Lonchura striata: one gene and its partners. The protein of the gene in region 1 binds, or shares a complex with, the protein of each later gene. Links are inferred from orthologs where the notes say so. Each region holds a gene or a part of one and is shown in the gene's direction. Other genes may lie near its edges.

Region 1 (7,480 bases):
ACACCAAAGGAATACAAGATTATAGATTGGACAGAACAACCCTGAAGTAGGAGGTGAAAGATGAGCTGCAAAGCTTTGCAGCTTTCCTCCTATGGTCACATCATTCTGAGCTTGCCCCACTCCCTCCTCATACCATCCACCAGTTCTCTGAGGATGTGCTGATCCTGCAATATCAACTAATTATGGGGATGGAACCTATGTGGTATTCCCTCCAATACTATTGCAATCTCTGTGGTGGTGGTAGGAGTGTCGTGGTAGCTATGAGACTTTCTCATGGCCCATGGAACAGTTTTCTCACCCCTCTTTACTACCTCCTGGCAAGCTGTGGGAACAAACATTTCAGTAAGATCTGTTGTGATAAGAAAATAAGTCATGTTTTACACTAGAAGAGGGTAGATTTAAATTAGATATAAGGAAGAAATGTTTGATTTTGAGGGGGGTGAAACACTGCAGGTTCCCAGAGAGGTGATGAATGCTCCATTCCTGGAAACATTCAATGCAGGACTGGGGAGGGCTCTGAGAAACATGGCCCAGTTGGATCTTTCCCTGTTCACTGCAGAGGGGTTGGACTAGATGCCTTTGAAAGGTCCCTTCCACCCCAAACTGTTCTGTGATTCCAGGAAGAAAGGCAGAGCACTCTACAAACCCTTGAGCTGGGTAGCAGAGCCCACGATGGTGATGTGTTCTGGAAGGCTCATCCCTCCCCAGTCTGGAAGCAGCCAGGATAAAACAACACACATGAGATCATAAAGTTGTCATCTACCCCACATTACCACTTTGGCACAGTCTTTTTCAATGGCATCCATCAGTTCTGTTACCATCCTTCACTTCTTAAAGAAATGACTATCTGATTAACTTTCCTAGCACAATGTTTGAAAACTGGTTGCAGAAAGAAGCTGGGTTTGGTGAGGCACAGATCAGATACAAGAGAATAAAGACTTTTGCTTAAAATACACTGCTGACTCTTAAGTTTGGGAGAGAGCAGTCTGAGCAGAAACAAGCGAGTTCTTTATGTATCTTGATGAAATACTTTAATTGCAGGGATAGCCAGAAAGAAAGTGCCTCCTCTCCACCTTTAATGGAGAGGTTCTCTCATTTTCAAAGGGGGAAAAAAAGAAGCCTATTTTCATTTGAAGTTGTTACTACCAGCAACCACTTTTTATTAAAAGAGGAGTCCTGTCAGCTCCTGAAAAATGGAAACATCTTTTTCAGCAACAAAACCCAATATATTTATCTCAAAAGCCAAGTAGGCTGGAATGCATTTTGTTTGGTGGAGGAGGCAACCTTTTTTCTTTCATGTTCTTGAAATTCATCTGCCATGAATAAGCAGATTTTTTAAAAAAATTAAATTTCCCTCTAAGAAAATTTTGAAAGAAACATTTCCACCAGCTCTGCTCAGTTAGCAGCAGGAAAAAAAGTGGCTTAGAAATGGCTCAATTTCACAGCTGCTCCCCTGAATTTTTCTGAGAGCTGAGAGAGCAAGGAGAAGACTTGCCAATTTCTGATTTTCCCTTAAGAAAGAAATTAGCAGATTATTGTGTAGCAATGGGGATGATCATGGGACAAAGGGATGACTGCAGACTCCACACTGGTCAAGAAGAAGAGAAATAATTTTCTCCATGGCAGGAGACCCAGGCTACAAATTTGTCAGATAACGAGTAGCCGGAGGCTGATATAAAAGACTAATTCTCTTAGTAAAACCCTTGGAGAGTTTCCCAATATGAGACCAAGGCTGGCAAGCTGCTGGAGGAAATGGGAAGAAAATGCAGCTATCTCATGAGGACGCTGCCTCTGGATTTCTTCGTTGTGTTTTTTCTATACAGGACTTTTTGTAATTCCCTCTAGCTAGAACCATTGAAATGAAACTTATTGATTGAAATTCTGATCCCATTGATTTTACACATGAGATTTGTGCGAATATGAAAGAGCAGGAACTGCTCTGTAACCACACCCATCTCCATTTATTCCCTGCTGAAGACATGCTGTAGGTTTGCTTGTCCATCTCAGTTCCCTGAGCTTCCAGAAATAAATTACCCAAAATTCAAATATATTGTACCTATTAGCTCACAAATGTATAGTAGAATACACTAAATTACCTTTTGCTTTCTTTTATCTGCTTTTCTTTCATACCCCCTCTTTACCTCGTTACCCACATCCTGTTTTTCCCTTTTGTTTCAGAGGTCAGGAGGGAAAATGGGAAGAGCATGTTCTGTGAGGAAGAAGAAATGGGAAACAGCACTGGGAGGAGATGATGGTTGCCTGGAAGGAAAGTGCCTGTGACTTCATGCTTAGAATACTCTAAGTGCTATTAGAAATTACATTTCTACCCCTAAGGAAATAGTCCTGGATATGGGATCTGGTGAACTCAGGACAGCAGGTGAGATGCTCACAGAGGAGGCAGCGATCAGGTCCCAAGTGGAAAACGCACACAGTGTAAGGACATGGTCACCCACACCCAACAGCACAAACAGCAGCCCCCTGCCTTCCCCGAGGCCTGTGGGGCAGCCCTGCATTTCCTTCCCACAGCACAGCGATGTTCCTGTCAAGCCTCCTGTAGCTGGGTGCTTTTTGGCAGAGAGGTGGAGTGGCTTTTGGGGGCAAAATCAGCAGCCTCAGCATTCACATCTACTGAACAACCACACCTCCCTTTGCAGATTTCTTGTGTACTGAAATGGTGGGTGTCCTTTCCATGGATCAGGTAGCAAACCTTGATTATCTTAATTTTAGTTTGATGCATTTTACCTTGCTGTGCTCAACACTTCTTTCCTCTCTATATCTTTTTATAGCTAGATTGTCACATATCAATCAATGTTATGGATTAAAGTTGAGTATATTTTAACTTGTCTGGGCCTGTAGGAAAGCATTTTAAACAAAGTTCTATTTATTTTATTTTCCTTGTCGACAGTTGTTTTCTTCTCTCTTTTCCATCCTTGTGAAATGGCAAAACCTGCCAGGAAAATGGTGGGACTTTAATTCACTAGAATTCTTAAATCACTGTTAGATGTCATGGAATAGATATGAAAAGAAGGCAGGTCATCTGCTGAGGTCTGTGACCACACTGCAACACAAAAAACCCAAACCTTCCGTTAATTACACTGATGGAAAACATAATCCAACATGGTGGTGAAACCTGATGCTTTGCATGGAGCATGTAAACGATTCACATTGCAAGTGTTCACATTGCCTGAGCCGTGAGGAGCTCCCAAAGGGCTCCTTGCAGGTCAGGTCACAAACACAGCACTGTGGGGTGGGGGCAGGCACAGGGTGTGGGTGCAGGAGCTGTGGGGGATGCTCAGGGCACGTGGGGAGCCAGGGTTCCCACAGTGGCCGGGGCAGTGCCCAGGGGAGCCCAGTGCCCCCGTACACACACCGCTGTCACATCCCCAAGCACTCAGCTCTGCGCTGCCGGGCCAGACCACAGAACTGTGGGATGGCCTGAGACACAAGAGACCTGCAAGGATCACCGAGTCCAACTCCTAGCCCTACCTGAACAGGGGCTGATGATGTCCTAGAGCAGGACATTCCCAAGAGTTCCACCTGAGAGCCTTGAGGCTTCTTGAAATCCGTCAGGCTTAGTGCTGTGATCACTGCCCTGGGGAGTTCCAGTGCTCAAGCTCGCTCTGGGTAAGAACCTTTCCCTAATATCCAACCTAATTCCCCCCCCGGCATGACTCCAGCCGCTCCCTCGGCTCCTGTCACAGCAAGAAGAGATCGGTGCTGCCCCTGCACGGCCCCTCCCGAGGAAGCTGCAGCCCACGATGAGCTCTGCCCTCAATCTCCTCTCCAAGTGCCCTCGGCCGCTCCTCGTATGGCTTCCCCTTTAGACCCTCCACCTAGGCAGACCCCAGCTCGGAGTCACCGGGCCGGGGGGCAGCAGCCCAAGCCGCGGAGCGTCCCTCCCGGGGAAAGGCGCGGGAGCCCGGGGCGAGGGGCCGGGCACCGGGGCCGCGCCCCCGCCCGTGCAGAGCGGGCGGCCGCTGCCCGCGGGCCCGGGCGGGGCGGGCCCGAGCATGCGCGAGCCGCGCGCGTCACGGGCGAGGCCGGCGGGAGCGCGCAGCCCGGCGCGCCCCCGCGCTCCCTCCTGCCGCCCGCCCGCCGCCGCTCCCGCGCCTCCATTCGGCTCCGCCGCCGCCCGCCGAGGAGGGGACAGCGACAGTCGGGAGCACGGGAGAGGGACGCGCCCTCCCCCGCCGCCAACCCGCTTCCTCCTCCTTCTCCTCCACCTCCTCCCCCGCCTCCGCCTCCGCCTCCCGGCCGGGAAGAGCTCGCCGTGCCCGCTGCAGCCCCGCTGGATGCACTGAGCGCTCGGGCGCGGGGAGAGAGGGGCAAGAGGGAGCCGGGAGCCCCGCCGCGGAGGCGCTGCGCTACCCGGAGCCTCACGGCCATTTGCTTTAATTCTTTTATTGCCCCCCGGCCGCCGCCTCCTCTCTGTCCGCGGGAGCCAGCCGAGGCGGCGGGGGCTGCATCCCCCCTCCCCCCCCTTTTTTTTTTTTAATTTTTTTTTTTTTTTAATTTTCATCGCCGCCATGGGATGTACCCTGAGTGCTGAGGAAAGAGCCGCCCTGGAGCGGAGCAAGGCCATCGAGAAGAACCTGAAGGAGGACGGGATCAGCGCGGCCAAAGACGTGAAACTACTCCTGCTCGGTGAGAACCCGCCGGTCCCCCCATCGCCCCCCTCCTCCTCTTTCCCCGCGCTTATCCCACCTCATCTCTCTTCCAACAGGAGCCGGAGAGTCGGGGAAAAGCACCATCGTGAAGCAAATGAAGTAAGTCCCGCGGGGGGAGCGAGCGAGCGGCGGTGCGGGGCGGGAGAGCGGGGCGGGGGCTCGCGGAGGTGAGCGAGGGCCGCGGGCGCCATGTTTACCTGAGGGGACCGCGCAGGCAGCGCGGCGGGGCCGCCGCCGCGCCCGGCGCTGTCCAGGGCCCGCTGGTGCTGAAGCGGCGCCCCGCGGCCTCGCCCCCGGCGGCGGTGCGGGGAGGCCGGCAGCCCACCTTCCCCCTCGGCGCAGATGTCCCCGTGCAGCCAACCGCTGTCACTTCTGCTTAATGTCGGGGTGTTATCTGCCGGCTCTGCGGATTGAAACCAAGGCTCTCTGTCGCTGAAAGCCCCTTTTATCGAGCTTGTACCTTCTTCTTTTAATTAATGAACGACGAGCTTGGCCACTCATTCAAATCTCTTCTGCTCTGGGATCCGAGTCTCCCTGTGGTACTCGGCGCTGCTCCTCGCTGGGGCTTCCCACACCCTTTTTCTGTGTTTAATTAGATATAACCGTGTAATAAACAACAGTGAAAAGCCCCACCGCACGGTCCCTTACAAGCATCCCCGTGGCTCGTGTAAATGCACCCCGTAGGAAAGCAGGTGCGGAGAAGGCTGATGGAGGTGGAGGTACACTCGTGGTGCGACTATTCTCCCCCCATCCATTTTTTTTTTTTTTCAAAAATTAAAATACAATTAAATATCCCGTCCTCCCACCGCTACAAACATGACGGGCTGGTTGGAGGCGGGCGCCATCACGGAACGAGCCTGGGCGCTGGTTCAGGGTCTGGATTTCAGCTGGGAGCGGTTGCCGCTTTGCGATGCTGGTGGTTGCGGAGAGATCTGTGGCTGGGAGGGCCCCCCCTCCCGGGACCGGGATTGCTTAGCGAGGGGAAGAGGCTGAGAGATGGGTGTGGATGGGGCGCGGGGAGCGGGGTGCGGGTCCCGGCGCGGGGCTCCGGGGCCGCGCGGGCCGACGGGCGGGTCCCGGCGCGGCGTTCAGCGGCTGGAGCTGGACAGCGCCCGCGGGGCCCCTCGGCACCGCGCTCCGCTGCCTCCGGAGGGGCCGCGGAGAAGCCAAAGGGGCCCCCGAACCAGCAAAGCGGCCCGTGCCCCTCGCAAGCTGCAGCCCTGAGCTCCCGTAGCCGCCCCGCCTGTGCGTGTGTGTGTGAGCGTGTGTGTGAATGCGTGTGTGTGAGTGTGTGCCTGTGTGTGAGAGAGTGAGAGTGTGCGCGTGTGTGTGTGAATGTGGGTGTGCATGTGCGCGTGCATGTGCGTGCACCACTGGGGCAGATCTGGGCCTTCAGCCCAGCTCCTCTCCAGGCAGGGTGGCTTAGCGGGTGACCTGGATATTTCTGTATCAACTCCGTGGCCGCTGTGCCCACCCCTCGGGGGTTCAATGAAACCATCATCCCCGCCTGAGGCAATGCTTTTCCCAAGGCGCTGCGGGGCTGGGAGGTCTCACTGTGAGGAGATTTGCCTCCAGTGCACAGTGGTATCCGTGGCTTTCCCCACTGACGTTTGTGTACCCTACTTCTGTAGAGGCTCTCATTGTCTCCTTTTACTGTTTGAAAGAGGGCTTTTCCCCCATAGTTCGATTTGGATCTGGGGTGGGGTAGGTTTGATTTGCTCTTGTTTGTGTGCAGAACGTGGATGAGGAGACATGTCGCTGCAGATGAACACCAATAAATAATTTAATCTCTAGGAATTGCTTCTGCAGAAGCATGCTGGAATGGCAGGTGATGGGTTTTGGTTAAAGGGAGAGGCTGTGGGAACTACAACAGCACAATGCACATGTAGAGCCCATAGGCAGGAGGGCAGGCAGTGACCACACTGGCTACACAAAAAGCCTACAATCTTGTTTTCCAAAGAGCAGAGCTCTTGTTTTTTGAAGCAAATCATATCAAGATAATAACCTGTTTGTTGGACTAGATTGGTATATTGAGGACTGAATTATACCCGTTTTGTGGATGTATATATATATATATGTATATATATGTATATATATACATGCATTTCATTACAACTACTCAAAGTAAGGCATGCTAGGCTTGCAGCTTTGTACCTAATATGAAAACGTCAAGGAAGCTGCTATGGTGGATGGGCTTCTAGTGTGGGAAATGGGGAGGCATCTGTGAGTGTGGAAACTCCAGTGAAGTGTGTGGAGGCTGGGGTGGGGACAGCGGTGTTGCTATGAGCACGGCAGCAGCATCTGGAGAGAACCGCGCAGCCGCGGGCGCCAGGGAGAGCGATGTGCGGGGAACAACGAGGGGAAACCAACATTGCTAAAAATTAATTCAAATATAATGTAGGCATTAGCATTTCACCTGGTCAAGCTCCATTAGACAGCCTTGCTGAGAACCTAATGAATTCTTAATAAAGATTAAATCGCATGTTCATTAGATTTTGATGAAAGAGTGCTATTTTTTTTTTAATACTGTATTATTGGTGTGCTTCTAGATAATAAATCTCATCCTCATGAATGGCTGAAGCAGCTTTACACTTGGATATTGCCTTGAAAACAAGCACAGGAATCTATAGACAGATTGGGGAATGTTAAGACAAAGGAACAGAGAGCAGACATTGTTACATAGGAATAGAAGAGGTTACACACTGCCCAGTTAATCCTTGAAATGTTAGATAGCAGGAGCAGAAGTAGAAATTACAGTAATTTGAGAGTGTAGCCAGGATGTAGATAAGGATTTGTAAATGTAATTCAGGATT
Region 2 (7,334 bases), on another chromosome or scaffold:
TACTCCTGCCAGGAGCTCTCCTCAGAGCTGTGCACTGGGCACATACACAAGGGCACTTTGCACCCTGTCACCAAACCCTTGTTTCCCCATTCCCCACCCCATTTCTGGGGCTGAGACCTTTGGTTCTGTGTTTTCCAAAGGTGCTGGCATTTTGCAAATAACCCAGAAACAGCAGCAGCAATCCCTGGGCTGATGGGGTGTGTGTATTTTGCTGCTGAGGGTGAAGCCAGCCAGTGGCTGTAGCCCCCCAAAAGCTGGCAAAGGGTGGCTGTGGGTGCCTTAGCCCAGCCATGTCACCAAACCCTTGTTTTACCAATTCCCCACCCCATTTCTGTAGCTTGGGGCTGAAAACTTTGTGTTTTCCAATTTTGCTGGCATTTTGCAAATACAGCACTCCCTGGGGCTGATGGGGGTGTGTGTGGGGGGGGGTGTCTGCTGATGAAGGTGAAGCCAGCCAGTGGCTGTAGCCCCCCAAAAGCTGGCAGAGGGTGGCTGTGGGTGCCTTCTCAGCCCAGCCACCTCCCAGCCTCAGAAGGCAGCACAGCACCTGCCTGGGCTGCCAGGAGCTTTGGGATGGAGGTGAGACCATCCTGATGGCCGGGAGGTGGGCTGGCGCTGGCAGGGCTGTGGCACGGCTCTGGGCATTGCGACACGGATGAGGTTTTTGTATTCCAAAACAAGGGCTGATAAAGGAGGGCACAGGGCCGGAGCCGCGGGAGGCTGCTAAGCTAAATGAGACAGGAAGCACGTAATTCAATCAGATACAGAGCAGCATGAAGACATCTGAGTACACACGCCGGGCTGGGCTCGGAGGCTATTGCATAACCCTGGGAAGAGCTGTGCAAGATGAAATATCTCACCTAGAGCAGCCCATGCTGCCCAGCTGCCTGTCCTGGAGCAGCCCCATCGGAGGGGACAGGCAGAAAAGCTGCCCCAGGGAGCAGAGGGCTCAGCTGGTGGCTGTGGCACAGCGGCCACAGGGCCTGTCCCAGCCCTGGTGAGGAGGAAATTGCTGGAACAGCCCAATCCCACTCCTGTGCCTGGGCTCAGACCTGCACACATAGATTTGGCACTCTATGTGTCCCAGAGCCAGCTCTGTGGCAAACACCTTTGTGCCTCTTCTGGCTGAGCTGCTGTGGTCCCCAAAAAACCACAGCCTTTGACTGACGCCTTCCCTGGGGTTGTTCTCTCACCACGGGCAGTTCCTCAGCTCTGCTTCACTGTCAGCTTGGCCTCACCTGAGCCCAGAGCTTCAAAAGCTGCCACAGGGGACAAGGTAAAACCACACGCACACACGCTTGTCCAATGCACTTCATTTCTCTGGGGAAAAGCAGCAGGGAAGCAGGGCCTGGAGCAAAGAGAGGGGCTCAGCAGGCTGCAGCCTCAGGGCAGAGATGTGCACAGTTTCTCTGCTCTGGCTCACACCCCCCAGTTGCTGCCATCCCAGCTGTGTTTTTGCCATAGTTAATTTGCCTGGCTGCTCCAGGCAGCACGTGGTTCCCAGCACGGTGGCTGTGCCAGGCTCTGAGTTGCAGCCAGGAATCATCTGTCCCGTGTGCCTGCCACACGTGGCCAGGCTCCTGGAGGTTTTCCTCCTGGTATGACCTGCTCAGAGCGTGCCTCCAACACCAGGGAGAGTTACCAGAGCACCCTGTGCCTTCGCAGATCTGCGGCTGCAAGGATGGGCTGCAGTGCTAGAGGGGAAAGAGACAGAGGTGAACATTTCCACAGAATTTGTGTGGAAAAACCAGCGAGGAGATGTAGATGTAGGGGATGAGGAGAAGGGGCATTGCCTCCCTAAAGCCTCTGGTCACCTGCTGCAGCAGGGAGGTGAGTGCCAAGCTGCTTTGGCATGATCTCCAGATCTCCTTTCCAGCCCTGACTCTGTGCAACAGTTGAGTGTGGGTGCCAGCAGCCTGTGCCCACCCCCAGGTGCCACTGCTGCTGTGACCCCAGTGCTCCCAGCGTGGTGCTGAGCTGGGGTGGAGCTCCAGGCTGGTGTGGCACTTCCAAAAGTGATGCCAAGCACACACGCTGTGGGTGTGCACAGACATTTTTGGGTGTGCACAGACATTTTTGGGTGTGCACAGACATTCTTGGGTGTGCACAGACACTCTCAGCAGCTGTACAGGCAAAGGCAACCTTCCAGCCCTCTCTCCTCAAGTCTTCTATTTCTTCCCTGAAATCCACAGCAAAGATCACAGCTCTAATTTTTGTTTTAAGGCACAGAGAAGACTTGAATTAGAGCTTTGTGTAGCTCCAGCCATTTATTTGTAGCTGAATATCTGCTAACCAAGAAGGCTTAAACATGATTATTCAAGTGAAAATCCCCAGAGCCATCAGGAAAGAGGCTGCTCTTACATGAGGAGCTAAAAGTGTGTGTTCAGTCATTAGTCCTGATGCATCCTTCCTGTCTGTCCATGAGCAAGACCATTCTGTGGCTTCTTGTAAGTGATGAGAGAAAGACAGGACTCTACTGCTCGGTGGGGCTGAGGTGCCTCATGCCCCTCTCAGTCTCCCACCCAGATATCCTCATGCCCCTGCTCCCAAAGGCAGCTTGAGAGGAGCCTTTCTCCTGCCCAGATGACTTTGTGCTGCCACTCTCCTGGCACAGTTCATCTCTCCTGGGAAAGATGCTCTGGCAATGTGCTGTGTGTGATGAATGCAGGCAGCAAGGGTAGGAGACAACTTGAGCTCTGGAAAAATGTCTGAGCTGGGAATAGCAGGGAGGAAGGGAGAGGATGAGGAGTGGAAGTGGCAGCTGTGGCCTTGTGCTTGGCTGGCCATGAGCAGGGGGGTTAAGGTCACTCCCTTCCAGAGCCACTGAGCTGGGAATTGCAGGGAGGGCAGCTCTGGGATCCTGTGAGCCTGAGCTCACCACGGGGCCTGTTGGTTCTCAGTGACCTCTGGTTCTTGTAGCTCCAGACCCTGGGGCTCGCTGGTGTGTGCTGGTTTAACCCTTTCTCTTCATCTTTCTCTTTTGCTGGCTCAGTCCTTCACCTCCAGTTTCCAAACTCTCCCTGGCTTTTAATCTCCTTTCAATTTTCAGGTTTCATCAGGATCCTCCATTATCAGATCCTTTCCCGGGTTTTGGCTCTTTTGATGTGCATCCCTTCCCCTCCCTCCTCTCACCACACACCCAGCAGGGGATTTGTGTCAAAGAAGTGCAACTTCAGCCAGCACATTGTCCTTATATATTCCAGCTGTGAACGGGCAGTGCCATTAAGAGGGAAGTGGAAACATTAAACCCTCCTGCTCCATCTGTATCCCCCCAGGAAGCACAAACCCTCCTGACCCCGCTGGGGGCTGCCACCACTGGGGAAGTGCGGGGAGGTTTGGAAGCCCTGGGGCAGCGGGATGGAGCAGAGGATGGAGCAGGGGATGGAGCAGGGATGGAGCAGGGATGGAGCAGGGGATGGAGCAGGGGATGGATCAGCGGGATGGATCAGTGGGATGGAGCAGGAGATGGAGCAGCGGGATGGGGCAGGGGATGGGGCAGGGGATGGGGCAGGGGATGGGGCAGGGGATGGGGCAGGGGATGGAGCAGGGGATGGGGCAGAGGATGGAGCAGGGGATGGAGCAGGAGATGGAGCAGGGGATGGGGCAGGGGATGGAGGCAGGGATGGAGCAGAGGATGGAGCAGGGGATGGAGCAGGGGATGGAGCAGGAGATGGAGCAGGGGATGGGGCAGGGGATGGAGGCAGGGATGGAGCAGAGGATGGAGCAGGGGATGGGGCAGGGGATGGAGCAGTGGGATGGGGCAGGGGATGGGGCAGGGGATGGAGCAGGGGATGGATCAGCGGGATGGATCAGTGGGATGGGGCAGGGGATGGGGCAGGGGATGGAGGCAGGGATGGAGCAGAGGATGGAGCAGGGGATGGGGCAGGGGATGGAGCAGTGGATGGAGCAGGGGATGGAGCAGTGGATGGAGCAGGGGATGGAGCAGAGGATGGAGCTGACGACTCTCGGCGTCTGTCCTGTCCCTCGCTCTCCCACCCGCCGGTTAATCAGCAGGCTCCACACGTCGCTGGACACGAGCCTGTTTTTTCCTGTTCCCGGGGAAGCGGCTATGACTGTGATGCTCAAGGACGAGCCTGGGCCTCCCACTCCCCCCTCGCTTAGCAGCACACACCAACTTACCTAAGCTCTCCTCTTCACGGGCGCTGCCTGAGCAGCTCTTGGTTGGCTGGAGGCTGGAGTGATGCCGGTCCCCCTCCCCGCTCTCCCGCCTCCCACCCGATATAAAGCGCGGCTCCGCGCCGCCGTCGCAGCCGCCAGCACGGGTCCGCGGGGCGGCTGGTGTCGCAGCCCTCCTGTCGCACCCCCTGCCAGCCCCGGGAGGAGCCGATGAGTTGCTGGATGCCTGGGTGCCCAGCTCTCAGCATGTGCCGGGGCTTAGCCGCGCTCCCCATCACTTGCCTGGAAAGGTAAGGCGCTTCTGGGAGGCAGAGGGGTCGCTGGAAGAGACGCGCCCGGACCGGCCTCTGCTGCTGCCGATGTGATGGTAGGGTAGAACCCGGGGTGCAGAAAACACGCAGCCAAGTCATTTGTTGTGGCTGCATCCCTTCTGCTCCGCAGGAGGGGAACGCGGAGGTGAAACAAGCGGAGGGAGAGGAGGCTGGACAGGGCTGTACAAACACACCAGGTTTTTCTGGCTCTGCCTCTGCACAACTTGCAGGAGTATTTTTGTCAGCACGGCCGAACTCTTTAAGTGACATGTTGCTCCTCCCGCGAAGCCCCACGCTGCCGGCTTGACATTTAAACCCTTCTTTTTGTACGGGCGCCTTGGGACGCCTGAACGAGCCGCGGGCACGCAAATAGCAGCTGGGCCACACGCAGCCTCGGGGACACCCTGGGGACAGGCAGGAGCCGCTTCTCCTCCCGGCAGGGAGGTGCCTCCTCCGCGGAGCCGCGGGGACAGTCAGGAGCACTCCAGCCTCTGGCACAGGAGCATCCCAGCCTCTGGCACAGGAGCATCCCAGCCTCTGGCACAGGAGCATCCCAGCTTTTGGCACAGGAGCATCCCAGCCCCTGGCACAGGAGCATCCCAGCTCTGGCACAGGAGCACCCCAGCCTCTGGCACAGGAGCATCCCAGCCTCTGGCACAGGAGAATCCCAGCCCCTGGCACAGGAGCATCCCAGCCTCTGGCACAGGAGCATCCCAGCCTCTGGCACAGGAGAATCCCAGCCCCTGGCACAGGAGCATCCCTGCCTTTGGCACAGGAGCATCCCAGCCCCTGGCACAGGAGCATCCCAGCCTCTGGCATAGGAGCATCCCAGCCTCTGGCACAGGAACACCCCAGCCCCTGGCACAGGAGAATCCCAGCCCCTGGCACAGGAGAATCGCTGCCTTTGGCACAGGAGCATCCCAGCCCCTGGCACAGGAGAATCCCAGCCTCTGGCACAGGAGCATCCGTGCTGCCCCTGCCTCCTAAAGCCATGGGGTAGGTGGATGGCGCCGCTGCGGAGCGCTGCCCTCTCCATGGCCTGGTGAAAGGCTCCTGGGGGCCCAAGGGCACCCCGAAAAAGAGAGCAGGGGAGCAGCAGCCTGGCAGCAGCAGGAGATGCTCCCGCTGTGCCGGGAGGAAAGAAACCGCTGTGTTTTTCCAGCGGTTTGGGAGCACTGGGGGAGAGCGGGGTGGGAAAAGGAACCAGCTCCGGGGAGCTGGGGGGGCTCCAGCTGGGCACTCAGCAGCTTTTACCTGCCCCAGAGAAAAGAGCTCGTCGTGCTTTGTATTCCATGTGTCTGCCTGGGAAGCGAGTAGGAGAAACCGGTCCCCCAGGCTTAATGCGCGGTTGCCAGGGAGCAGGAAAAGCAATGGGGGAGCATTTATTTCACACACCAGGGAGCAAAGACGTGGCTGGAGCTAGGGAGCGAGGGCTGACCCCCCGAGCCCGTGGGGTGCAGCCCCTGCCGGCGGAGGCAGCAGACCGATGGTCCGGAGATCCCATCTCACCCCTCCCTCTCTCCCTTCCTCCCTTCCAGAGCCAAGGATCTGAAGAGCCGCTTGGGCATCCTGCTTCATAAAGCCGAGCTGGGACACAAGGCGGGCAGCTCCGGCAAGCTGCAGCTGGGCTCTAGGCGCAGGTAAGCCAAGCCAAGCTCTGCCCCGGCCGCAGCCCGGGCCGAGCCCCCACGGAGCAGCCCTTGGCGAGGATGCTGCAGCCGGCTGCGCAGCGCGGAGCTCAGCTCCCCTCCGCGCGGTCCCACCCCGGCGGGCCGGGAAGGCGGATCGCTTCCCTGCTCTGGCGCCTATAAAACCCGCCGGGGGAGCGGATGCTCTGGCATTAGGCACAGAGAGCTAGAGGCAAGTTCCTTGGCAAGAGGCAAGGAACCCGCAGGGCTCCTGCACTTCCTGGTGTCTCACACCAGCGGCTGGGATCCCCGGGGAATACAGGCAGCATTAAACACGGAACACTAAATATTGCTGCTGAGGGCAGGGGGTCTTCTGCAGGGGAGGCTCTGCTGGGCCAGCAGGAAAAGGCTCTTCTGAGCATCCCCTAGAGCAGCATGGAGATGAGGTCGGGTGAGCCATCAGGGAAGGTGAAAGAAAGGGAAGAGAGAGGAAAGAGAGCCCACAGGTAATGGATATCGGCCCCTGGCTTTGGTCTCCTGCTGAATGCTGCTGTCTCCCGGTGATGGAGCTGCACAGCTGAAGTGCTCCCAGCCCTCACTGCTGGACAGTGAGCCTCACATCCTTTTTGTCTTTTCCAGAGACTCCTCCCGAGAGGTGCTGGAATGGAGGGAGTCCTTTGACCAGCTCCTCAAGAGCAAAAGTGAGTAGCATCTTGTTTTCTTCTCTTGGTGAGAGTGTGTAGGACAAATATACTCATAGTGAGCTGTATGCCTGGAGTCACTGTAAGATGAAATCTCACCTCCTGCTCAAATGAGGTGTTATAGGACCTAGAAAGAGTCCCTTTCCTGCCCAGATCTGAGGCACGGGGCTCATTGCCTGCCCCATGAAGCTGTGCCCTTTCCTCCTGGCTGGGTTTTTTTGGGGGGGCAGAAGTGTTGTCTTGCTGCTTGCTGTCACAGGAGGGGAAACATCGTGGTATTCCCAAAGCACCCCATTCTCCACAATGGGGAGAGGCAGTGTCTGCTCTCGGTGTCTGGTGGAAACAGCCATGCAGGCACCTCCCCTCAGGCTTGTTCAGACAACTGCATTGCTGCCCTGTCTGTCTGTCCTGTGCCTCCGGGGATGGCTCTTCCACAGGTGCAGGAATTCAGCAGTTTGACTGGATAACCTTGCCCTTTCCCTACTCTGGAATCAGCTGTGTGTCTGCGATGCACAGGGCTCCTGTGAGATGCTGTCTCCCTCTGCCCATGCAGGCAG
Region 3 (7,784 bases), on another chromosome or scaffold:
ATCCTGTGCTGGTCTCCATAGTCTCACTGCTGAGAGCTGAGAGCAAAAATAATGGCCAACAAAACTACTGGAAAATGGCTTTTTCTCCAGCACCAATGGAAACTTTCTCCTGAGTCTTTCTGTGGCTTTTCTTTGCTGTGGATTTCATGAGGATCAGGTGAAAAATGGGAGCATGGGATGCTATGGGGGCCCTGCCACTCCACCCCTTGAACCAATCTCCAGCTGGAGCTAAATCCATCGTGGTGCCAGGCTGTGTTTGACCCCAAGGCTGAGCTGCTGGTGGGTCAGCCAAGCTGTAACCCCACAAAATTTGGGGGTGACTGGAACCACAATCCAGCTGCCCACACCCACTGAATCCCACCAAGCTGCTGCCAGAGGTCCAGGCACAGCTGGGGCCACTCCTGCACAGCTCCTCAGCAGCTCTGCAAATAGAGAAATGAGGAGGAAGAAGCCTTTCTTAGGAACCCCAACACTATTTTAGGCTGGGACCATTACGTGGATGGGTTGCTGCTGCTGGTTTTAGGAGGACTTGTTTTGAGGGCATGTGTTTACTTGTGTTATGGAATGCCAGATCAATGCAAAACCTCATCCAGCAACAAGTTCTGTCCTCCAGGACATTTCTTCCAGCAGCTCCTGCTGCTGCTACTTGCTTAAACTGTTTTGAATAAGACCTTGAATGGGTTTGTTGGCTTTTTTTTTTTTTAATCTCTCTTATTTACTATTTTCTAGGCAATCCCAGAGGAAGTGGAAGTGTCATGAAATCTGGCAGAAAACTCAGCATCTGTGCTCCTAAGAAAGCCATCAATGGGGGCAGCAGAAGCAGAGATGAACTTCCAGAGATGAATTTTTTGACTTTATGTGATCCCCTGCTCCCTCCTGGACAGGCTGCAGAGCAGAACCATATCTGGGAACCCACAGCACACACAGCCCAAGCCTATGGGTTAATTTTAACACACCTCCCCTGGTGTGAGATGTTTTATTTATTTATGGTCTTCCTACAAGCATAAACACTTTTGGCCACAACAGGATGCTTGTGTTTTAGGGCCCAGCAGGCAGCTCCTGCTGCCTGGGAGGTTGTGGCAGCACTCCTACCCCTCTTTGCAAGCATCATCCTGAGGGGGGAAAATGCACTTGGAGTCTGAAAACCCCTCCAAAACACCTGGGTTACACAGGAGCTGGGAGGAAAAGTGAGTGGCACCTCCATCACCCTTCTGATGGTGAGGAGGAGGAGGGGAGAGACATCACATGTGCTCAGTGGGGAGGAAACGAAAGCTGGGGTAAAAAAAAAAAAAAATCCCCAACCGTTGGTGGAGAAGAGAAAATCCCCACCCAGATGGGCACAGCCACAGAGCAAAGCCCTCCCTGCACTGAGCAATGTGCTCAAGACTCGCTGTCTGCAGCTGCTTGCCCCAGAGAGCTCCATGTGCTTCAGGTCTGCCCAAATTCCCTGTTCCGCACAGAGCACCAGCTACAGACAGCTCCCTGTACCTTGTCTGCGCCCATCTGTCAGTTCCTGTTCAAGGGATTAGTGGGAAAAGGGTGGAAAGGGGAGGAAAGTGTCTCTCTGTGCCCAGCAGCGTCTCCTGGGTGCTGCAGCCTTAGAGAGGGCAGCAGGAGATTCCTCCAGAGCATGTGTGGATGAGGGATGGCCAGAGGGACTGGCTCCAGCTACAGACCTGAGGAAATGGCCTCAGGTTACACTGGGGAGGTTAGATTGGATATTCAGAGAGGTTTCTTGACTGAAAGGGTGATCAGGCATTGGAACAGGGAAGTGGCAGAGTGGTGGAGGTGGAACTTGGGGATGTGGTTTAGCGGGGAACACAGCAGTGCTGGGTTAACAACTGGACTCTGTGATCTTAAAGGGCTTTTCCAACCCTACTAATTCCATGACTCTGGGGCTGGTTTTACAGCCCCAGCTCCCACCTCCAACCAACCCACCCTATTTGGCTGCTGGGAAGGTGCTTCCACATCTCTCTCCAGCCCCACCTGACCTCATCTCCAGTGCATCCCAAGGGCACTGTGAACAGAGGTTTCTTTCTCCAGCTACATTGGCTTTTGCTGCCCCTTGAAAGTTGTTGGTGGTCTTGAATAAGAACATCCTGGACAGAGAATTCAGGCAGCCTGAGAAACTGCAAAGTCACATCTGCTCCCATGGGATGTCCCTCCTGCAAGCCCAGTCACACAGGGCAGGGCTGGAGGCTCAGCCCAACACACCCAAACTGTCTTCCTTGCTGCACCTAAGGCTTTAAAAACAAAATAAAAGGGGGAAAAAAGTATTTGATGTATGACAGCCTGTCTCCATCACTTCTGCTGGTGTCTCCCTGCATGTTTGAGCTGCACCCATGGGTGCAGCGCAGGCTTTGCTGTGGCCAGCCTGACCTTCCCGGTCCACCCATTCCTGTATCACATTCCTGCATGCTAGTCAACATGGGAATGTTTTGAAAGTGTCTTAGAAACCTGCCGGGCTGCCAAAACAGTTGAAAAATGAAGCCGCGAAGGGAAACGTGGGGCTGCTTTCCAGGTCGGCTCTCTGGGTATTGCCTCTGTCTGTGCTGCAGCTGCACAAATCATTTGCTTTTCAACACAATTTAAAACATCTGCCTCTTCCTTGAGCTGCCGTGAAGCTGGGAAATGGAGACTGGGAGTGAGGGGGCTCTGGTTTTGGGTGCTCTAGGTGATAGGTGCATGAAGGACAGAAATGAGTAAGATGGGTTAGGGTTGACGCCCTCCTTCCATCTTCCTCAAGCCCAAAAGAGAGGAGAAAAAGCAAAAGAAGGGAAAGGAAATGTTTTTCCATGCAGTGGGCAGTGAAGCTGGGTAGGTCCTGCTTGCTGGAAGCTGCTGGGACTTCAACCAGGCTCAGGAAAGGTCTGCTGGGAAGAGGGCTCTCCAGGGGACACTTCCCTGCTCCAAAGCAGCTTTTGGAAAAACATCTCCTCTGTCCTGCTGAAGCACCGAGCTGCCAAGCAGGCCTTGCAGCTGGCCTGGCCATAATTAATCACCACTGGAGATGAGGAAGGCGCCTGCCTTTTGTTTTTGAGCTGTTTGGCTTCATCTTGAGAGGAAGAGCTGCAGGTGTTCAGGCCTTCGAGGACCAGGCTGGGGGAGATGGCGCCAGGCAGGGGCTATTGAGCAGCAGTGATCACACCACGGGTCACAGCTCCTGCAAGGACAGCATCAACTCCCTGGACATCATCCATCACCTATGGACATCATCCCTCCTTGGGAGGGTGAAAGATTTGGAGGGTGAAACCAAGGTGCTGTGGTTGGGTGAACCCAAACTTTGCCCATTAAGTGTTTCCAAATCCAGGAGTAATGGGCTGGACTCAGCACCCAGGTCACTGCTGGGCAGCTTCACCCAGCTGAGCCTCACTCATCAGCTCTGTGCAGGCATCTCCCTCCTTCTGGGCAAGCAGCAAGCCTGTCCTTCCTCCCTTATCAGCCCCAAATAGCTGCGATGTGATGTATTGTTTTCCCTCCTCAAACAAATTACATCAGAAGAAGGAAACAGGAATTTATTTTTTTTGCTCTTTTCTGGCATGGAGGTCCATGAGCAAGATCTCTGCAGCACTATGTCCATGCCATGAGTTCATATCCTCTTAATGCCTCCTTAGCCAGCTACCAGTTTCTGCTGCTGAATAATAGATGCCATTGGTGTCCTTCCCCACCTCCATCGGGGGCTTCATGGCCCCCCCCCAGCCACAGCCAGGGGGCTCAAGGACCCCCACATGAAATCAGATCCAGCTGGGGAAGAAGGATCTGGCTGTCACCCAGGGACACAGATGGGGAACACTCAGGGGAGCACCGGCGGCAGAAAACAGCGGGGCCACCTGCACGTGGTCCTGTGGGGCTGTGCCTGTTCCTCCGGCACCCCAGATCTGGTCAATGAGGAGGGCTGGGTTGGACCTGGCCACTGCTTCCCTTGGGCAGCAGCCACCTGCAGGAGAGGGCAAGATGTGAAGGTGGTGCTGGTCCTCCACAGCTTCCTGCAGCTTCCTGGGAGGATGTGTCATGTAGGGCTCTGTGGGGACAGCAGGTCAAAGAGGATACAGCAAGGAGCAAACCTCGAGCAAACCTTCTGCCATGTCTTCTGGTTCCAGCAATGATGAGAAGTCCCAACATCCCAGTCCTGGCATCACACCCAATCCTAGCACCCGTGGAAGTGAGTCCAGTCTCAGTCCCAGCTCCAATCCCATCCATGATCCCACTCCCAGGGCAGAGAGGTCCTGTCCTTGTCCTAACTCTCGCCCCCTCCCCGGGGGAAGACTCGGGGAGCAATCGTCCGTTTCCAATGTCAGTCCCAATTCTGATGCCATCCATGCCCCATTTCTGGCGGGTGGGGAGTGTCTCCTGTCCCAGCCCTAATCCCGGTCTCATTCCCGGGGGAGAAAGGGGAGAGAGGTCGGTGAACGGCCCCGATCCCAGCCCCAATTTCATCCATACTCCCATCTCCGGGGGAGGGAGTGAGGGCTCCTGCTCTATCCCTAATCCCGATCCCATCCATAGCGCCATCCCGGAGGGGAAGGAGAGGGGGCGGTCGGACGCCTGTCGTGGCCCCAGCGCGGATCCCACGCACGCTCCCATCCAGGGAGGAGAGCTCCTGTCCCGTCCCCGGGGGAAGGGGCGGTCCCGGGCCGGGCGGGGCAGCTCTGGCCGCGGTCCTGCCCCGTCCCAGCGCCGTTCCCAGCGCCGGGAGGGCGGTGCAGCCCCGCGCCCGCCCCGTCCCGGCTCACACGCGGCGGCACCGGCACCGGCACCGGCACCGGGCCGGGCCAAGGACCAAAGCCGGGCATGGCACGGCCTCCGCCTTCCTCCTGAGCGCGGCGATCGGCGCTGAGCCCCCGGCACGGAGCCCCTGGCTCGGCATCGCCCGGTGAGCGCGGCCGCAGCGGGCGGGGACCGTGGGGGGACCGCGGGAGGATTTGGGGGGATGTGGGGGTGCGTGTCCTGCCCACTACAAGGAAGGACAGGCGGCGACCTCCAGGGTCGAGTGGGAAACTCGTGCACGGGGTGGGAGTGGGGACACGCAGATGGGGGAGAAGCGACACGCACGGGGTGAAGGGGACACGCACTCATGTGTGGGACACAAACACCCGCATGTCACACACACACACTTGCACGTACTCGCGGTGGTGGCGGCACTTGTTGCTGTCTGGGTGGCACGGCTGGCACAGGGTTCCAGAGCAGGGAGTGCGGCGCTGCACGGACAGAGCCGCAGCCCGACTCTGCTGCTCCCCTCCTCTCAAGCCCACATACTGCCCGTGCTGCCGCTAAAAGTGCCCAAAAGTCCCCAAGTGCCCCAAGACAAGGCAGTGGGACCAGCAGGTAGCAGGGTGTAGGTGCTGGCACAAATGGTTCAAACCGGACACTCAGGGAAGCCTCTTGCTTCTTCTGCTCCTCTATTGGATTTTTTAATGTATGAATTCACAATTATACCTTTGCTGCTCAGTTTCTCCGTTCCCTGTGGAATTCACTGGCTGTTTGTCCATGATTTCTTGTACACAGCTCAGGTTAAACCATGGAACTGACTCCCTGCTTTGCTCTGCGTGTTTTTCCACCTCTTTCCATGCTGGGCTCCCTATGTAATTTCTTTGGGAGTGTTTTAATTTACACTGCAATGGTGATACTCTCATTTCAAACTTTTTGACTCCTTCTAGCAGCTCCTGACCTCCAAAACACCCCTCTTCCCAGAGCTGGGCACTGGCTGACATCACTGCAGGAACGACTTTAGGGGCAAAATATCTCATTTCTCTTTCTGCTCCAGTTTTCTTATCAGTTTATTGCAAAAGCCATTTGGCAACCCACTGCCTTCCTGTACACGAGGTGAGGATCAGCAAACCCGGTTCTGGGGGCCACCAACACTGGGGGATGGTGGCCTTAGCTCATGGTTGCTGCTGCCAAAATTAGGCCATTTCATTACCGCCAAATTCCTCTTGTTTTCCCTCAGGCAAAGGGTGGCTGATAGGTTCAGGGGCTCCAGTGCAAAGGGAGAGACCCCAAAACACGCTGAGCCCCAAAGCACAGCCACATCCCAGGGCTTAGAGGGTTATAAAAGCCCCAGAAGGATTTCTGACAGTCTGGCACTGAGTGACTTTATCCTGTCTCTGCCCAGTGCGATTTTTATCTCGGGTTGTTGACACGAAGCCAAAGCCACGAATAGTTCTCTGGCAGCCGAGCGTGCTGCCGGCCACGCCGGGCTCCCTCCTCAGTGCTGAGCAGCCCCCAGTAAAACCTGATTGGGAACCACCCATGAGCAAAGACCCTATTGCCTCCATGGGAAACTGCCTGAGGAGCAAAAATTTATCCCCCAAAGTCCACCCCTGCAGGGTTTTCTGGTGGGGCCATGGTGGAGCCCGGTAATTGTGTTATCCTGGTTGTCCCCCAGAGTGCCTTTGGTTTTTCCAGGGTGGTTGTGACTCCCTTGGTGTGGGCAGGAGGCTGGGAGGTGTCCATGAAAATGTCCTTTCTGCCAGACACGGAGCTTGTAGGGTTACCAAATCAGCCAGAAACTGGTCCTACACTCTTCTCCCTGACTGTTGCTTCTTCCAAAGGAATCATCAAAAGGTCATTCAGGGCAAAAGCAAAGTCAAACTCCTGACAGAAACACCACCTTTGTACCTCCAGGAAGCCTAAAGGATGCAGGTGCTCAGTTTCCCCTATGGAATAATTAAAACTGGAAGCTTGAGGGGTCAAATGGGATTTGCCCCAATCCTGCAGCAGGGAAAAACAGGCAGGGAGCACTCCCTTTTCTGAAGCATGAAGGGAAGTATTGATGAAGGGATTAAATATTGGCCAGGGTTGATGTTTGCTTCCAGAAGGATCCATCCCCAGAGCCTTGCCATGCTGGGAATTGAGTCAGGTTCAACCGTTGTCACCAATGCTTTTAATGCTTTCTTAATTTACTTTAAAGCCACAGATTTGCTTAATCCCGATTGATTTCCCATGGTATGGAGCAAGGCAGGAGGTTTTGGTACCCCCTGGGAAGCAAAAGCTGTAAGGGAGATTGATTCAGGGATGTTTCTTGGGGAAAACCAAAACTTCCCAGAAGAAGTGATTTCTCTCAAAGCAAAACATTTTATTGACCTCCAAACAAAGTCATAAAGTTCTTTTAAACTTGCAATATCTTTTCTCCAAATTTTCTGTCTCTTTTTAGCTTGGATCAAGTTACCAAAAAACCCTCTAGGAAACCAAAACACCCCCAGAAAAATATTTTTCATGGAGAAAACAAATTCAGCTCTGCTGTTTTCTCAGCCTGGTGACAGGAGGGGAAACTGAGGCATTTCTGGAGTGAAAAGGTGCTTTTTTGTAGGGACAGAAACAGATTCTTTGTGAAGTTTTGGTTTAAATGAGGTGTTCTGGCTATTTTGTGGATGGAGGAAGGGGTAGATCACACCCAACAGGGAGGGATGTTGCCTGGAAGGGAGATGGATAAAGCCCTTTAAAGCTGCTTAGCTATCCTGGAAATGACTTTTGGAGGTGTCTTGCCTTGGGATTGCTGGGGAGAAGTGCTGGGGGTGATGGAGCTGGGAGCTGGAGAGGTCCTCAGCCCACACTGGTGGCGGGGGCCAGCCTGGAGGAGAAAGGCTCTGAAGGTCACCATGGCAAAAAGGATCCAAAGGGAAAGGGCAGATGAAAAGCAGGCATTTTGGGCAGGCTCAGATTTTGGCCGGGTCTCACGGCTCCGGAGCATCCCAGCACCTTGCCTGTTTGCTTTTGGTCACCAAGGGTTGGAACCACAACTGAGAGCAGTGAAAAACGATTCCAGGTCATTTGCTTCCCAGAGT
Region 4 (7,206 bases), on another chromosome or scaffold:
CCTGAAAGGAAGAGCAGCTGAATACTGACCAGAGTTAACCTCTCCAATTCTGCCCAGCCACCTCAGTAGAAATCTCTCCCCCCAAACCCTCAGCCCCTGCAGCTGCCTCATTCCACTTCCCTCCCCAAATAAGACACGGGGTCTCAGCTCCTCTCTTGCTGCTGCCAACTGAGACACAACTCTGACTGGCACCTCTGGGCAAAGGGAAAGAGACACAGACCAGAGAACATCAACTCCTCATCTGTGTACATTTACCAAAGAGGGGAGACAGAAGCACAGAAACTCACTTCAACAGGGAATCCACAAAAGTGACTTGTGAGCATTGAGAAGACCCCAAAAATTAATTAGTAACATGCTGAAAAGACACTCCATTATTCCACTCTATGGCTGTAAAATAACACAGCTGAGTACTTCATAGCCTAGAGGCAGCTGACTTACACCAGTCAAAACACACATACAGATATTTTGACTGACCCGTCACACTCTTTGCCACAGGCTCTTGTGAAGGAAAAAAAAAAAAAGAGAGAAAAAACCCAACCTACAGCATCACAGAATATTCTGAGTTGGAAGGATCACTGAATCCAGCTTCCGGCCCTGCACAGGACACCCAAAATGACACCATGTGCCTGAGAGCATTGTCCAAACACTTCCTGAACTCTGGCAGGCTTAGTGCTGTAAAATCTACGGGATTTTATAACTGGAAACAAACATCCTTAGCCAGGCACAATATCCGCCTACAGTCTGTCAGGTTCAGGGAGTTCACAAACCCACTCCTCCAGCAGGCCTGTGGGCACATCTTACAAAGTCACACTCCGCTGCTTTTGGCTGACCAGAGGTCTTTGTAACTGCTGGTTCTGCAGCCTCTTCTTAAAACTCACTCCGAATTCCCCCCGCTTCCCTCTCCACCACTGCGAGAGCCCCCAGGCCAAATCCAAGGCGCACATCAGTGTCACATGGCAGAGAACCCAGAAAGCGGGAGCAGGCGTCAGCCCTGCCCGGAGCAGCACGCTGCCCTCGCCTCCTGCCCCCGGTAACAGAGCAGCCGCTGCTGCCACAGCACGGCGCGGAGGCTCCCCCGCCTCCAGGCGCTCACCACCTGCCGCCACAGGCACTTCCAGCGGCGGCTCCTCCCGAGCTCGGCGGGAGAGGGCTCGGGGGATGGCCAGACCTGCTCGCGGCCACAGGACACGGCGTTCCCAAGGGACGAGGCCGGGCCGCGGCATGGCACTGCCCGGCCCCCGGCTGCCCTGCGGGCAGGGACTGAGGCAAGCCGGGCCGATCGCGGGCGCCGGACGCTCCCTCACCTGTACCCGCGGTTGGAGGTGCGCGGCGGGATGCGGTAGACGTTGACATCGGGCTTCACGCAGAGAACGGACTCGTACTCCAGCTCGGCCGCCGCCATGTCGGCCGCGAAGCCCGGCGAGGAGCGAGCGGCGGGAGCCTAGTGACCAGCGGCGCTGCCCACCGCCATCTTTGGTGAGGGCAGACACCGCCTGGGGGCGCCAGCGCGGTCGCGCCAGACGCGGGCCACGTCGGTGAAGCGGAGGAAGCCATCTTGGGTGTTGGCAGCGGGGAGCGGGGGCGGGAGGGCACCATCTTGGAGCCGGCCCTGACACAGCAGTGGCGGCCGGCGCCATCTTGGGGCCTGGCAGGTGTCGCGGCGGGGCTGGCGCGGCCATGTTTGTTAGGGGCAGCCCTCACGGCACCGAGCTGCCCGTCCGGCCGCCCTCCCCTGTGCTGCGGCGATTTGGTGGCTTTGTGGTAAAAGAGCCAAAGAGGAAATGCGGTGCACAGCACGGAAATTTGCTGCTGGAAGTGATGGAAACGGCACCTGTGCAAAGCTTAGTTTCAGGAGTGGGTCTTCCCCCGAAAAGGGTGCAGATACCGGTTTTATTTGTCAGTAATGATAAGGCTGGCAGCGTTTAAACCACTCTTTTAATGGTGGCTTCTCAGAGGAGACTGGTGTTGAAGTTCAGTGCTGTGCAGCGTCTTGTGACTGAGTGTCAAAAAGTACCAGCGTTTACTCTGAAAAGTGTGAGAAAAGGCATAAGAGAAATTTTAAAATTACATAGAGCCGTGTCTGAGCATTCCATGTCAAGCATTGGAACGGGCTGCCTAGGGGGGTGGTGGAGTCATCATCCCTGGAGGTGTTGAGGCAAAAATAATCACAAAAACATCACTAAGTTTGAGGTTTTGATTTGGTTTTTTGTTTTGTTTGGTTTTTGGTTGGGTTTTTTTGTGGGGTTTTTTGTTGGTTTTGTTGATTTTTGTTTTGGTTTGGGGGGTTTTGGCTTGGCTTTGGGGTTGGTTGTTTTGGTTTTGGCTTTTTGGTGTTTTTTTTTTTTTTTTTTTTTTTCCTTTTTTTGTTGTTGTTTTGTTTGTTTGCTTGTTTTCCCAGTAGGGAAATAGCATTAGTTAATGCAGGCAGAGTTAATTCCCAGCCATGGCTGTCTAGCCACCATTCTCTATGTTTTTTCTTGTTCTATAACTTCTTAAGATTAAGGACCAGTACAGCATTCACAATTCAAGAAGAAACTTAAATTTACCTTTTGGATAGAGTTGCTTATTGACCTAATTTTTCATTAGAACCTCCTGCAGTGACTGCTAAGTTTTTTCATTGAGCACTAATGTCTCACTGGGAGTACATCCTCCATGTGCAGCTGCTTTTCCAAGTTCAGTGATTCACAATTAGCAGTATTAAATTTCACCTCCCTCTTCACAGTGCTGTCATTCAGCGTGTCACAGTCCTCCTACGGTCCCCCTAGAAGGAGAGCATCTCGGATGAGGGAGTGGCAAAGGGCCAACTATTATAAGGCATGTGAGCAAAGACTCACAAGCACCACCAGAACACCAGGAATGTATCTCCCATTCAATTCCATTGAGACTTAAGCAGTAGAGAACATAACATTCTTCAGCTTGGTTCAAACAAGCATCTCTGGATCAAAAATATACAAAGCACTGCCAATAACCAATGAAGTTTAAATTTTTATTTATATTATTTACCTTTTTGTTTGTTTGTTTGTTTCTTTTTAAGGATTCAGCAGAGAGGTTGAAATCTTGAAATAGAACATTTAACTTGGATGATAGAACTGGTTAAGGACCCTCCTGCAAAGCAGGGCTTGACTAGCAGGTCCCATGGTGATGACCAGGCTATGCTTCTATCAGCACTGCCTGTCTGGGCTCGAGGAGTCCCCCTAGCAGGATAGCAGCTGTGAAGAAGATGAAGCTACAGGAATTTTCCTGGCAGGCTGCTGACAGCCTGTCTATCTTTGTGGGTACAGCTCAGCCCTGGTCTGTCTTCCTTTTTCTGGTTTTGTGTTGGAGGCAGCATCTGTGTCTTTAACAGACACGCTCAAGAGAAGAAGTCTGCTCTGTCACAGTTCATTTTCCAGACCAAAACAAAAATACTGAGGCTGATTCTTGTATGTCTGGGCTCTGTCATTTCTGCTAGCAGTCTTGATTTCCCAAATTGTGAAGGGCAAGAGGGAACCCCCTTGTTAAACATTAGAAATGCCTTGCCCTGGAAATCTTCCATTTTTATTGTCTTGCCACATTTTGTGCAAATCGCCCATTTCAGTTAACCACTTCTAACTTTTTGTCAGTCAATTTCTTTTTTAAAAGCAAGAATTTTAAAACCCTGAAAAGTAAAAAGCAGAACGGTTTGGTGAGTACAGTGTTCTGTATTTGATGAAGCAAACTGTCTCAAGCTGGGACAGAAGCTGATCTGGATTGGTAAGAACCCTAGAAATTAGATTAGCTAGGTGAATGTGCTCACCTGGTAAGACATAGAAGTGGCTATGACATGACAGGGTTTGGACTTAGGAATTACTTCCAGCAAAGGTCACACTGTGTCAACAGGCAAGATGGCATTCAGTTGTCTTATAGAATATAGTAAAGTATATGTCTGTGATTATAACTCTATTAATATTTTATTTCAAGAACTATTTTATTTTGAGTTTTGAGAAAATTCCTGTGATTTGACTTTTTATTTTATGAGCTGATCATATCTAAATCTTGAAATTACATTGAAATGAGTAATTTTATTAGGGTGAAAGAACACACTTGGCAAACACAGGATGCATACAGGAAAAAAAAATGCAGTTCCTAAAATGTCATGTGAGGGTTTTCGCAGTCACTCCAGAGACAGAATTGATGGTAGTTGCTCCAACACACTGAAATCACTGCTTCGCTCAGGTAGGTATCATAAACTGGAGAATTTTGCTTTCCTCATCTACTTGCCATTTATTATTCTTTACTCCTGAAAACCCCTCTCCTTCCTCCAGTTGTCCCTTTCATTTTCAAACCATATTGCAGCCCTTTTAGCACTCTGGAAAATATAGTGTGGGCAGTTTACTTTGGAGTAGGACTTACATTACTATTTTACAGCATTTCTTGTTTCCCTGTCCTCTTCATACCATTTTTTGTAGTTATATGGGGAGGCAGCAGGGTTCAACTCTTGCAGCACTGTTCGCCAGTTGTCCTTCTGAAAATTGCTTCTACATAGATCAGCAAGACCACAGGAAATGGAACAAACTTGGGAGAATTTTAAATTAAGCCTCCAGCTTTCAATTAAGCTTTCCAGTAACGTCTGTCATAGCTTTCCTTGCAGGTCACCCTCACTCACAAGTCTCTTGGCAGACATTACCAAAACCTGATAAATTATGATGTTTGTTACATTTGTTTATCTCATTTTATTCTTAGTGAAGCAGTGATGCACACTTATGCATCACTCCACTTTCGGACTGCATGTTATTGAAGAGTGAGATTGATTATTTGAATTTTTTAAAATAATATTTATATTTAGTCCTGCATACAACAATCTCTGACTGGTATTTAAGTACGGGCATAACAGAGCTTAAAAATGGGTCAGTTGTCTTATTTATGTCTTCTCAGTTGCTTCTGCAGGCTGTATTCACCTCTTCCCTATTCAGTTTCCTTGCATTTTGGTAACATTTTTTGGGACCTTTCAGTAATACAACTGCCGTCATCAATTCAGCAAGGGTTTAGTTAAAAAGAATTTTTAAGACAATTCTATTAATGCCTAAAGAATAAAAATCAGGGTTTTTTTTTCTCAATTCTATCTTAGCTTTGCTGGTTTTCTTTTCCTTTCTAAATTTACTAAGTCCAAGAATAACTGAGCAATTAACATTCTTCCTCTGTGTGGTCATAGTTTTAAAATATCACTTAAGTATGCTGTAGGTCAGCTTCATTGTCTTGCAGTAAGACACCTCATATCTAACATTACTCTGTATTTTCATGTTTATTTCTACAAGTAAATATCTGTCTGTTCTTCTTAAACATTAATTTCTTATCTTTCATAGAATCTTAAACCGTTAAGATTGTCTTTTTCCTGGTCAAGATAAGCTTTCCAAGGAACTACCAGAGAGCTCAGAACACATGTATAAGAAAAGGAAGTGGTCACTGGCACTTCCCTAAAATATCACTTAGCCAACAGAAGTTATGTCCTCTCTGTTCTATTTGTAATGTTCAGAAAGTGAAGCAGGGTGATTTCAGAAAGACAGGCATTGCTTTCTTAACTTAAATGTTATGCCAGAAGAAATTGCTAATTTTAAAGGAAAGAGGAACTAAAAATGCTGGTTTGCCTTTCTGAAGCAGGAAGTCAACCAGGAAACACACCTGGGCACATCATGGCCATGTGAATAGACCTTCACTTTAGAGACTAAGAAGAACCAGATGGAAATCAAAGGGATGACACAGATAGGAGAACATAACTGCATAGAGCCCACTGTTTGAACAGCAAGCTTACATACAGGTTTAGCCACTATGAAAATGATGAAGATGTACAACAGGTACACTAGTAACAATTTTGTGTAGGCCAATGCCTTTGTATCCTGACAGCTCTGTACTGTCACCTGACTCAGAGATGCTTCAGCAAAGGTTAAGAGAAGAATTTGGGGAAGAGGATCACAGAATTACTAGGTTGGAAGAGACCTTCAAGACTGAGTCCAACCCATGCCCTAACACGTCAACTAAACCATGGCACCGAGTGCTAAATCCAGTCTTTTTTTGAACACATCCATGGGTGGTGACTTCACCACCTCCCTGGGTAGACCATTCTAGTACTTTTTCACTCTTTCTTTAAAAAACCTATTCCTAATATCCAGCCTATGTTTCCCTTGGTGCAGCTTAAGCCTGTGTCCTCTTGTTCTGTCAGTTGCTGCCTGGAGAAAGAGAGCGACCTCCACCTGAATACAACCACCTTTCAGGCAGTTGTAGAGAGTGATAAGGTCACCCCTGAGTCTCCTTTTCTCCAGGCTAAACAGCCCCAGCTCCCCCAGTTGTTCCTTGTAGGACTTGTGTTCCAGGCCCCTCACCAGACTCATTGCTTTCCTCTGGACATGCTCAAGAGTCTCAACATCCTTCCCAAACTGAGGGGCCAGAACTGGACACAGCACTTAAGGTGTAGCCTCACTAGTGCTAAGTACAGGGGAAGAATGACCTTCCTTTTTATTCCTAAGTTCCTTTAAAACCTCGTTGCCCATCCGGGCTGTACATTTGCCTAATTGACTCATCTTTCGCCACACAGGGACAAAAAGATGTCTGTTCTTGTGCCCTCAAGATCTCTGTTTTGCAGTACTTTGCTGGACTCCTTTGTTTTTAAGGGCTGCTTCTCAAGGAACTCTCTTAATAAGTCTCCTAAATAGACCAAAGTCTGCCCTCCAGAAGTCCAGTGTAAGAGTCTTATTGATGTTCCTCCTCATTTCACCAAATATTGAGAACTCTCTAATTTCATGATCACTCTGCCCCAGGCGGCCTCCAACCACCACATCTCCCACCAGCCCATCTCTATTTGCAAACAGCAGGTCTAACATAGTCCCTCCCCTGGTGGGCTCACTCATCAGCTGTGACAAAAAGTTGTCCTCCACACACTCTACGAACTTCCTAGACTGCCTCTTTTTTGCTGTATTAAGCTTCCAGCAGATGTCTGGTAGGTTGAAGTCACTTACAAGAACAAGGGCTGGTGATCCTGAAACATTCTCCAGCCACTTATAGAATAAGCTGTCAACTTCTTCTTCCTGACTGGGAGGATGATAACAGACCCCCAGCACAATTGTTGGCCTTCCCCCTAATTCTTACCCGCAGGCATTCAACTTTGTGGTCATTAGTTTCAATACCCACAGCATCAAAATCCTCCCTAATATAAAGGGCCATCCCTCCACCTCTTTTCCTATCACTCTGAAGAGC

The links.
Region 2: the proteins of GNAO1 (region 1) and regulator of G-protein signaling 16 are in contact, whole or in part, in a crystal structure (PDB 3C7K), measured with the Mus musculus proteins. The link is inferred for Lonchura striata from reciprocal best matches to the Homo sapiens genes GNAO1 and RGS16. Residues at the interface, in NP_034438.1 of Mus musculus: Glu64, Asp65, Gln68, Ser75, Arg86, Thr117, Val180, Lys181, Thr182, Thr183, Gly184, Ile185, Val186, Gln205, Arg206, Ser207, Glu208, Lys210, Lys211, His214, His236, Glu237, Asp238, Glu239; in NP_035397.2 of Mus musculus: Glu85, Phe86, Ser87, Glu89, Asn90, Glu124, Ala125, Pro126, Glu128, Val129, Asn130, Asp132, His133, Glu134, Leu161, Lys164, Asp165, Ser166, Arg169, Lys172.
Region 3: the proteins of GNAO1 (region 1) and P2RY2 are in contact, whole or in part, in a cryo-EM structure (PDB 9K20), measured with the Homo sapiens proteins. The link is inferred for Lonchura striata from reciprocal best matches to the Homo sapiens genes GNAO1 and P2RY2. Residues at the interface, in NP_066268.1 of Homo sapiens: Ala31, Lys32, Asp33, Val34, Leu195, Gln305, Glu309, Glu318, Ile319, Tyr320, Cys321, His322, Met323, Val334, Phe336, Thr340, Asp341, Ile343, Ile344, Asn347, Leu348, Gly350, Cys351, Gly352, Leu353, Tyr354; in NP_002555.4 of Homo sapiens: Asn66, Ser68, His130, Arg131, Gly134, Val135, Pro138, Leu139, Leu142, Arg143, Met221, Arg224, Leu225, Ala229, Tyr230, Gly231, Thr232, Ser233, Pro237, Ala239, Lys240, Lys242, Ser243, Arg245, Thr246, Leu308.
Region 4: the proteins of GNAO1 (region 1) and C3AR1 are in contact, whole or in part, in a cryo-EM structure (PDB 8I95), measured with the Homo sapiens proteins. The link is inferred for Lonchura striata from reciprocal best matches to the Homo sapiens genes GNAO1 and C3AR1. Residues at the interface, in NP_066268.1 of Homo sapiens: Ile28, Ala31, Lys32, Asp33, Val34, Asn194, Leu195, Ser264, Asn316, Glu318, Tyr320, Asp341, Ile342, Ile343, Ile344, Ala345, Asn347, Leu348, Arg349, Gly350, Cys351, Gly352, Leu353, Tyr354; in NP_001313404.1 of Homo sapiens: Asn57, Asp119, Arg120, Val123, Val124, Pro127, Ile128, Gln131, Asn132, Arg134, Asn135, Tyr356, Ile359, Arg362, Gly366, Arg367, Phe368, Ser371, Lys374, Thr375, Val378, Leu438.

Annotation. Positions count from the first base shown.
Region 1 is NC_134615.1:15,386,082-15,393,561, forward strand, and holds the start of GNAO1 (guanine nucleotide-binding protein G(o) subunit alpha), read left to right. Parts: upstream 1-4,403; 5' UTR 4,404-4,526; coding exon 4,527-4,644; intron 4,645-4,723; coding exon 4,724-4,766; intron 4,767-7,480. UniProt on the Homo sapiens protein: Guanine nucleotide-binding proteins (G proteins) function as transducers downstream of G protein-coupled receptors (GPCRs) in numerous signaling cascades.
Region 2 is NC_134611.1:1,692,811-1,700,144, forward strand, and holds the start of regulator of G-protein signaling 16, read left to right. Parts: upstream 1-4,258; 5' UTR 4,259-4,347; coding exon 4,348-4,427; intron 4,428-5,986; coding exon 5,987-6,088; intron 6,089-6,269; exon of another isoform or gene 6,270-6,511; coding exon of another isoform or gene 6,512-6,582; intron 6,583-6,715; coding exon 6,716-6,777; intron 6,778-7,334. UniProt on the Homo sapiens protein: Regulates G protein-coupled receptor signaling cascades. Inhibits signal transduction by increasing the GTPase activity of G protein alpha subunits, thereby driving them into their inactive GDP-bound form.
Region 3 is NC_134604.1:18,219,357-18,227,140, forward strand, and holds the start of P2RY2 (P2Y purinoceptor 2), read left to right. Parts: upstream 1-4,694; 5' UTR 4,695-4,873; intron 4,874-7,784. UniProt on the Homo sapiens protein: Receptor for ATP and UTP coupled to G-proteins that activate a phosphatidylinositol-calcium second messenger system. The affinity range is UTP = ATP > ATP-gamma-S >> 2-methylthio-ATP = ADP.
Region 4 is NC_134604.1:31,235,412-31,242,617, forward strand, and holds the start of C3AR1 (C3a anaphylatoxin chemotactic receptor), read left to right. Parts: upstream 1-4,108; 5' UTR 4,109-4,194; intron 4,195-7,206. Other genes in the region: NECAP1 (adaptin ear-binding coat-associated protein 1), read right to left, coding at 1-1, 1,305-1,402.